Saccharomyces cerevisiae S288C: one gene and its partners. The protein of the gene in region 2 binds, or shares a complex with, the protein of the main gene of each other region. Each region holds a gene or a part of one and is shown on either strand. Other genes may lie near its edges.

The links. Proteins that work in one complex are often made in the same cells at the same time.
Region 1: MRPS12 (region 2) and MRP4 share a complex: the UniProt entries of both Saccharomyces cerevisiae proteins name them as parts of the mitochondrial small ribosomal subunit.
Region 3: MRPS12 (region 2) and MRP2 share a complex: the UniProt entries of both Saccharomyces cerevisiae proteins name them as parts of the mitochondrial small ribosomal subunit.

What each region holds. Positions count from the first base shown.
Region 1 is NC_001140.6:97,281-100,903, reverse strand, and holds MRP4 (mitochondrial 37S ribosomal protein uS2m MRP4), read right to left. Parts: upstream 1,686-3,623; coding exon 501-1,685; downstream 1-500. Other genes in the region: sphingosine N-acyltransferase LAG1, read left to right, coding at 1-256; YHL005C (uncharacterized protein), read left to right, coding at 1,684-2,076; SHU1 (Shu1p), read left to right, coding at 2,109-2,561; mitogen-activated protein kinase kinase kinase kinase STE20, read left to right, coding at 2,967-3,623. UniProt on the Saccharomyces cerevisiae protein: Component of the mitochondrial ribosome (mitoribosome), a dedicated translation machinery responsible for the synthesis of mitochondrial genome-encoded proteins, including at least some of the essential transmembrane subunits of the mitochondrial respiratory chain.
Region 2 is NC_001146.8:693,861-696,576, forward strand, and holds MRPS12 (mitochondrial 37S ribosomal protein uS12m MRPS12), read right to left. Parts: upstream 963-2,716; coding exon 501-962; downstream 1-500. Other genes in the region: ARC35 (Arc35p), read right to left, coding at 1-187; mitochondrial 37S ribosomal protein uS19m RSM19, read right to left, coding at 1,192-1,467; putative ATP-dependent RNA helicase DBP6, read left to right, coding at 1,735-2,716. UniProt on the Saccharomyces cerevisiae protein: Component of the mitochondrial ribosome (mitoribosome), a dedicated translation machinery responsible for the synthesis of mitochondrial genome-encoded proteins, including at least some of the essential transmembrane subunits of the mitochondrial respiratory chain.
Region 3 is NC_001148.4:875,782-878,353, forward strand, and holds MRP2 (mitochondrial 37S ribosomal protein uS14m MRP2), read right to left. Parts: upstream 849-2,572; coding exon 501-848; downstream 1-500. Other genes in the region: Rho family GTPase RHO1, read left to right, coding at 1-216; MET16 (phosphoadenylyl-sulfate reductase (thioredoxin)), read right to left, coding at 1,066-1,851; mediator complex subunit NUT2, read left to right, coding at 2,295-2,572. UniProt on the Saccharomyces cerevisiae protein: Component of the mitochondrial ribosome (mitoribosome), a dedicated translation machinery responsible for the synthesis of mitochondrial genome-encoded proteins, including at least some of the essential transmembrane subunits of the mitochondrial respiratory chain.

The DNA.
Region 1 (3,623 bases), on a different chromosome or scaffold from region 2:
GTCAGTCTTAACAGAATTCCGTCATGAAGGTAATTATGTGTTGAATTTTGCCACACAACAATACAAATGTTGGATTTCGTTGCCAATTGTATTTGTACTAATTGCTGCGTTACAATTAGTTAACCTGTATTGGCTGTTTTTAATTCTTAGAATCTTGTACAGATTGATATGGCAAGGTATCCAAAAGGACGAAAGAAGTGACAGTGATTCTGATGAGAGCGCTGAAAATGAAGAATCTAAGGAAAAGTGTGAATAAACGTATCTTAAGGAGAATACGTATCATCATATGATTTCCCCCCTGTATGAAGGCCAAGTTAACATGGTATAGCTCATAGTTGTTGTTATAAGAAGCATAAACCCAAGTACGAAAGTAATAATTCTGTAAAAAAAAAAAAAAATGCGTTTATTTAGCGTCTTCGGGTTGGCTATATATATATATTTAAGGATATATGGGCATATGTACAAGTTTAGGTTAACAAGCCAAAAGAAAATAAAAGTGTTCATTTTTCGTTATTTCTGGCCAAGCGATTTTGCAAGCCTCTTTGGCCAGCTCTCGCCAAGACTCCTAGTAAGAAATTGACAGATCTCAATGAATCATCGTTACCTGGGATAGGGTAGGTCACCAAAGAAGGTTCGGAGTCAGTATCGATGATTGCGATAGTTGGGACCCTTGATTTAATTGCTTCTAACAAAGCGTTTCTATTTTCTGTGGGATTTAATACGACCAGCAAGTCAGGCTTAACCTGCTTTGATGTTTCATTCGGTGATAACGCTCTTTCGGTGGGATTGTCATTAGAGTCGATTTCCTGCTTCTCCCAGATACCTGAAATTTCTGTAGAATTCGTCAAAGTACCCGGGATCCATCTGGTAGACACATAATAACCATGTGTCTTCTTAGCAGCTTCCTCGAGCCCTCTTTTCTGGCCTTGTCTTGTACCCAGAAATAGGATAATGCCACCGGATTCCGAAACGCCCTCTACTACCTTGGCGGCTCTCTTCAAATAGGACAAAGTTTGGTTTAGATCTATTATGTGAATACCTTTATATTCACCGTATATGTAGGATTGTGTGGAAGACCTCCAAAGTGAGGTAGACTGGCCCAAGTGAACACCAGCAGACATTAAGCTCTCAACAGTAATGTTTTCTGGGAGGGGCGGATAGAAAATGTCCTTATGAGGATAGTAAACCTTCGAAATAGTGGCACCCAATTTAGCGGTACGCATGGAATGGTTTAGTTGACGCAAGAAAAGTTCTTGAGAGGAATATGGTTTGTCATTGGCCGAAGGTATAAGGTTAGGGTAAGGCTTGGTTGGCGTGGCTGCTGCTGTCGTTGTAGAAGATTGTCCATCTAATGTCTTGCTGTCAAACAACTTGTTCAACAGAGCATAATTTCTGAAAAAGTCACTCAATTCAGCCTCCAGCTGCTGTTCTTTGTCAGAGAGTTTGTCTTGCTCTAATGACTTTTTCAACTCAGGTAATATTTCATCTTCTGGTACCTGAGATAGAGACTTCAATTCTGATCTAATTTCATCATACAAAAGTTTCTGTTGCAACAGCATCACCTCATCGTTATTGTTAGGGGTGTTGGCCGCACCGGATGCTGACGACTGAAACCTTTTGGTAAGGGAAGGGTTCCTCAATAAGGAAAGACGTCTGAAATTCCTCGCAAAAACGTGTCTCTGCATGAGAAAAGAGTCGTTTCTCACTTTTTATTTCTCGAATCACCTGTATTTGTGCCCCGCGATAATCAGGCTCTCGAGCGTATGTACACTTGCCAGAACTGATTATTATTTACCATCAAATATAGCAGTGACCTACGACATACAAATTTCATCTCTCGGATTCACTTACCGAATTGATTTTTTTCTTGCACTCTTTTCTGACCCGGCACGGCCTTTTCTTACCGAGATAAACAGGAAAATAGGGCAGTATGCGTGTGTTATACGTGAGAGAGAGCAAGCGGGTGAGTATTCGTTTCATTACAGTTTATGCATTAACATAAACGTATACATATTACACATACACATATACATAGATAGATACATATACGCATATATTAATGCTCAGGTGCAATAACGGGTGCAACAACAGCAGCAGCAGGATACAATATGCAGTTTGAAGAGCGGTTGCAACAGCTAGTAGAAAGCGATTGGAGCCTGGATCAGTCAAGCCCAAACGTACTGGTGATAGTCCTTGGAGACACTGCCAGGAAGTACGTAGAGTTAGGAGGACTGAAGGAGCACGTGACTACGAACACTGTGGCAGGTCACGTGGCAAGCCGGGAGCGGGTATCCGTAGTTTTTTTGGGCCGGGTAAAGTACTTATACATGTACCTCACCCGGATGCAAGCGCAGGCGAATGGTCCGCAATACTCTAATGTACTCGTCTATGGATTGTGGGATCTCACCGCGACACAAGATGGACCGCAACAGCTGCGGCTACTTAGCCTTGTGTTACGGCAGTGCCTCAGTCTGCCATCTAAAGTTGAATTCTATCCAGAACCGCCTTCTAGTAGCGTGCCTGCCCGGCTATTGCGATTCTGGGACCATATTATCAGATAGCTGCATTGTGTTACATGCGATATCGTAGAAGACGATAGAACGAAAAAGAAACGTTAATCTTTTTTTCCTTTTTTTTTCGATTAAAAAAAAAAAATTTTCGCCTCGTGGCCCGAAACACGGCCAAGAGAGGGAATTCGAAAGTCTACCGCTTTTGGCAGCTGAAAAATTCAGAAAGTCACCTGGCCAGAGAGGAAAAATACGAAACCAAAAAGAGGCATCCGTAAATTCGCATTAGCAACGCATGCTTACATAGATACTCACATACTACACACACTTACATACTTTCTTAAAGACATACATCCGTACGTACAATTAGAGCGAGGTAGCAAGCAACCCAAACTTCTTCCCTTCACTGCCTCACACCCCATCCTAAATATCCCACAAGATCCTCGACTAATACAAGAAATGAGCAATGATCCATCTGCTGTATCGGAACTACCAGACAAGGACAGTCTTGATAACGGTATCAGCAATGACAATGAAAGGGCCATGGGCGGCAATGGCGATGGCGGCGATGGATTACGATTACCAAGGACCACTGGAACTTTGAACGTCAATGCCTTACAAAAAGGCACTAATGCTGCCCATGAAGCTGGTGGATACAAATCCATGGATCCTGCGAAGAACGCGGAGACAACCAATGATGATGACAATAATGTCGTTTCACTAGATGATCCTATTCAATTTACCCGAGTATCTTCCTCCTCTGTCATCAGTGGAATGTCTTCATCCATGAGTCCTCATTCTAACATCGATGAAACCAAATCTCTAGAAGCAGTCACTCCAAACATAAATACCAGCAATATAACCCCGGATCATTCTGCTGACAACACATTTTCTACCATAAATGCGTCCGAGTCAGATCACCAGTTTAATGACACTTTACTATCAAAACTGTCGTTAACAGATTCTACAGAAACTATAGAAAATAACGCGACAGTGAAGCACCAGCAGCCAGTTGCATCTTCCACAGTAAACTCGAATAAGAGCTCCACTGATATACGAAGGGCTACACCAGTGTCCACTCCCGTTATCTCTAAACCATCGATGACAACCACGCCA
Region 2 (2,716 bases):
AAGCTTTGGTCTTAACACTCAACAACAGAATGGACTTATCTTCTGCTGTGTTTGAAATGTGGTAGGTGGTATAGTCGAAATCGGAAACAATTCTGTCCATGGTCAACGGCGAACCCTTGCGAAGTGCCTCTATCGCTTCATTCAGTGTCTTTTGGATGAGAAGGTTTTGTGGTTGTAAGTGTAGCATTGCGGATTACCGTTTTGAGGCAAGAAGATTGCTAGTCTTGTATCTACACTAGTTCCTTTGAACGCTAGTTAGCCCCTATGCTTATAGTATTTCTTGTCAATACAAGCGTCTGAAAATTCAGATCGCTTTATACGAGTAAGTATGCCAAATACACCAAATATACCAAAGCATTGATTGCGTATACTGAGAATACATATATATATATATATATATATATATGTATGGTCATTGCTATTTACAAAAGGTTGTATGGAGTGGGAATATTAGAGAAAAGTAGTCGAGAGGCCAAAGAAAACTTAGAGCGTACTGCGCATCACGATTTACTTGGCTTCTTGGCTCCATATTTCGACCTCGAAGAAATCCTGTTTACCACACCACTCAGGTCACCAGCACCTCTGATAACATGGTACTTCACACCAGGCAAGTCCTGACAACGCCCACCTCTGACATATACAATCGAATGCTCTTGAGCATCGTGGCCCTCACCCGGTATATATGCAGATACCACGTTCCCGTTAGTCAAACGGACCCTGCACGCCTTTCTCTGCGCAGAATTCGGCTTCTTGGGCTTTAAAACCATTACACGTAATACGACACCCTTCCGCTGGGGACACTGATCCAGTTGTGGAGCTGTACTTATCTTCTTGCGTCTTGGAGGCCCGGAGCCTCTTTTAATCTGATTCAATGTCGCTTGCATTGTCGTAGTGGAGGAAAACAATCTCTGCGCCTGTCTCAAGGGCGTACACCATGTGTTGGACATAAACCTCGACAACATGGCTCTTGTTGGCCTGCTTCAATTCTGGTGTACCTGTAAGTTCTCCGTCTTTTCCCTGGTTATATGCGTTTTTTCTCCCCAAATCGTTTTGTCGCTCGGGTAAGACTGAAATGCTTTTAAAAGCACTATTACTGTTTATTATGCTATATATATATATATATACAGCCCGAGTCTGGCTTGATCTTATTTACATGATATATCATCTAGAAATCTATATACACTAGATCCCTCATTTGTTCTTGGTTTGAGTATAGCTGAAACGCTTCCTGGTAGGTGCGAACTCGCCCAGTTTGTGGCCCACCATATCTTCTGATATTTCAATAGGTACGTACTCCTTACCATTGTGTATTTGAAATTTCAGTCCCACGAACTGAGGAAGGATGGTGGCGGCCCTTGCGTTTGTTCTTATTGGAGTGCCCTTAGTCATGGCCTCCCTTATGGGTAATGGCACGATGTTGGGGCCCTTCCATACGGACCGCGATAAAAGTCTAGCTGCCGGTTGCATTTTATTTTTGGTGGACACTACTTCTGCCGATGCTGTACTGCTCTTGCAATGAACCTCACCGTTTTAAGTCATGGTTAGATTCTTACTAGGCGCTTCCAATTGCCATTTCTTGCTCAGCCATAACCGTGAATAGTGATCCAAACGCTAATGCCGGGTGATGCTTAAAATTTGAAAAATTATTGCAGATTTGTATTATATAGAAAGCATAACTGGCGATGAGATGTGCTCGAAACTGGACACCTTTACCATTGGTGACCGGTAGTGACAATGTTTGCATCGAGATTTGACCCTAGCCAATTGACTGCTCCTGCAGCTAGCGCACCAGAAGGAATCGTCGGAACTACTCCCCCGGCCATTGTGCCTTTAAAGAGGCAGGCTACTGAATCTGATAATGAAGAATATGGCTCTCACCAAGATTCTGATGAGAGTTCCAACTCTAGTTCAGAGGAAGACGAAGACCGTATGCAAGTAGATTATGGGGCTAGTGAAGAGGATTCGAGTGAAGTGGAAGAGGAAGAGAGTAAGCCAAGTACTCACAGCACAGTGCTATCGAGATTCAAGCAAACAGTATCATTGCAAGAAAGGCTAGGTGCATCTGATATTGCTGAGAGTAAGGAAGACGAAGGTATTGAAGACGAGGCGGCCTCAACTCACCAACTAAAACAGATTCCTCAACCTGAATTCGTCAAAAACCCAATGAATTTGAATACAAATTCATTACAGTTCAAATCTACGGGTTGGTTAAATACTGAGAAGATATATTATGATAATTCCTTGATCAAACCGTTCTCGGATTACGCAAATGAATTAGAAGCAAAACTACTGCAGAATATTTGCAAGAATTTCTCTACAAACACTTTTCCCATCCAATCGATCATCCTAGACTCCATATTACCGGTATTGAACTTCACGTTGAACGTATCTAAGAGAAACTTCACCAGAAGAATCGGTGATATTCTTGTAAATGCTGCTACCGGTTCAGGTAAAACTTTGGCTTACTCCATTCCTATTGTTCAAACCCTCTTCAAGAGACAAATTAACAGACTGCGTTGTATAATCATCGTCCCCACAAAACTATTGATAAACCAAGTTTATACTACGTTGACAAAGCTAACTCAAGGGACGTCGCTTATTGTGAGCATTGCCAAATTAGAAAATTCTTTGAAGGACGAACACAAAAAATTATCAAATTTGGAACCAGATATCTTAATCACTACACCTGGTAGATTAGTAGATCATCTAAATATGA
Region 3 (2,572 bases), on a different chromosome or scaffold from region 2:
GAAGGTCAACAACCCGTTACATCACAGGAGGGACAATCTGTAGCAGACCAGATTGGCGCAACCGGATACTACGAATGTTCGGCCAAGACTGGTTATGGTGTCAGAGAAGTGTTTGAGGCCGCCACTAGAGCTTCATTGATGGGTAAATCTAAAACGAATGGTAAAGCTAAGAAGAACACTACTGAAAAGAAGAAGAAGAAGTGTGTCTTGTTATAGGAGTGTCTCGATCTCTCAGTCGTTAACTTAGTGGCAGATACTGCCCTTTTTCAATCCCATTCCTTTTCTCATTGTATGTACGTATGCCTTTTTTTGTTATTTTAGCTCTAACTATAGCTACTTGTTTTTCTCCCAGTATGTGTATAATCTTATTCTTCTCTACATATAAGTGTATTGCTCAGTAAGTATTATCATCTATTAAAGAAGAATAAAAATTATCATGTATTTATTTACAAGTGCGTATCCTATATATATATATATATATACTTTCGCGATAAAATTTTTTACCAAATACCCTTCTTAACACCTGGCAAATTACCCTTCAGAGCGTTTTCTCTAAATTGATACCTACACAACCTAAAATCACTTAGAACAAATCTTGCATGTCCAGAGTCCACGCACCTATTTTTGATCTGCGTAGATCTCATGTAGTTTGGCAATGCATTTAGTTTTAACTGAGCCTCCAACCTCAGTTTTGTTGGAAGGTTCATATTTCTAGCGATGAATTTCAAAGATTTAACAAGGATTTCATTCTCTTTAAATTGTTGTCTTTTGAAGTTATCCCTAAGTATGCGAGCATTGATAAACCCTGGTGGTAGCTTGGTTTTTATAGGAAATCTGAAATTACCCATCGGTTAATGTATATATTTGTCAGTTTACCTTTTCTTTCGTTTTTCCTTTCAATCCTCTTTATCGCAGTTTGGTTCTTAGTTTGAATATTCCTCTGTTTTCGCTCTTTTCTCGTACAGCGCGAATTCTCCGCCAGCTTTAGAAAGTTGTAATCATTGGTGTTATTAAGGAATAAATAATTAGTCACATACATATGGTTATATATCGTACTCTATCTATCTAGGCATCTTGCTTTAAAAATTGCGCGAATCGGCTGGCTTCATGAATTCCACACTCGGTCTTGGCCTTGCCCTTCCATCTTCCTGCTCTCTCATCTTCACCTTCCTTGACGGGTTGTGTGGAATGGTAATCACCAATGGATCTATATCCAAGGTCCAAAAGTTCGTTGTATGGTACATTGTTTGCATCTATATACTGTTTAACCTGCTCGAACGTCCAATTGATCAATGGATTTATTTTTAAGATTCCATTAAGTTCGTCTATTTCAATAATCGACAGTTGGGAGCGGGCAGAACCTTGTGATTTTCTTCTACCAGTAAACACAGCACTTATATGTAGCTCTTTGTAGGCACGATGTGCAGGTTCCACTTTGGCCAGATAATCGTACTTGTCATCATCTTTCTCCCATAAGAAATCCCCGTATTTCGAGGCAAAATCTGCCTCCGATTCACATCCATCCGGCTTATATACGTGAATGGTTTGATTTTTAGGCTGGTAGTATTTTTTCTCAATCTCGTTTTTTAGTGTTAAAGTTTGTGGGAAATGGTGCAAAGTGTCTATAAATAATAGTTCTGGCATGTAGTATTTTTCAGATAGCTTTGACAACATATCGATAGTAACCAAGCCAGTCAAACCAAATGCAGTGGTTTGGAAAAGGTGAGGAAACGTTACGATAGACCATGCAATAATCTCCTGTGGCGTTTCCAGCTTGATTAGTTGTTCATTCCAATGATCCAACTGTTCTTGTGTGACAATTATATCATTATTCAAATGATAGGTCTTCATTTTATGAGTTGCTATGGGTTGATACCTTTGCTGGCCTTAGTTTTGATCTTAAAGCATTGAAAAGGTTACAAACAGTACAGTATACTTTTTTTATATCAATATAATACTATCTCTATGAGCTTTTACTTTGTCGAGATTTGCTGAGTCATGTTGTGGCTTTTCTTTTACTAGCCACGTGAAATGATGATAAAAATAAAAAGAATAACGACGGAATAAAGAACAGTATGATAAACCGTAAAGATATTTAGAATCAATAGGTGATGTCCACCCGGTAACAAGATGCCATTCATGTTAAACTAGGACAAATTTCCTTCTTGTCCCCCCACCATTCTCTTTTATCCAATTCTTTTGTCAGCGCGCATTAAAGAACAAGAACTTCGTACTTTTAACTACTAACTCCTGTTTGAGAAAGAGGCAAATATATAGAAAAATAAACCGATAAGATGAATGGAAACAGCACTAACAATGAACAATTGCAGCAAGAACTGGCCACTACTCAAGACCAAGTGGCTTCGATTATTGAGTCCTTCGTTGAATTAGGTGTCTCGATATATGATTTTCCTGGTACTCCAGAAGCCACCAAGGGAATGATCACCAACTTGCAAAGAAATGTGGATCGCTTGTACAAGCTGAACGTGAGAAGCAACGATCCTCAATCCAGCTTGTCTAAGGTGGACATTCCCTTGGAAGTTGTTCAATACATTGAGGACGGTAGAAATCC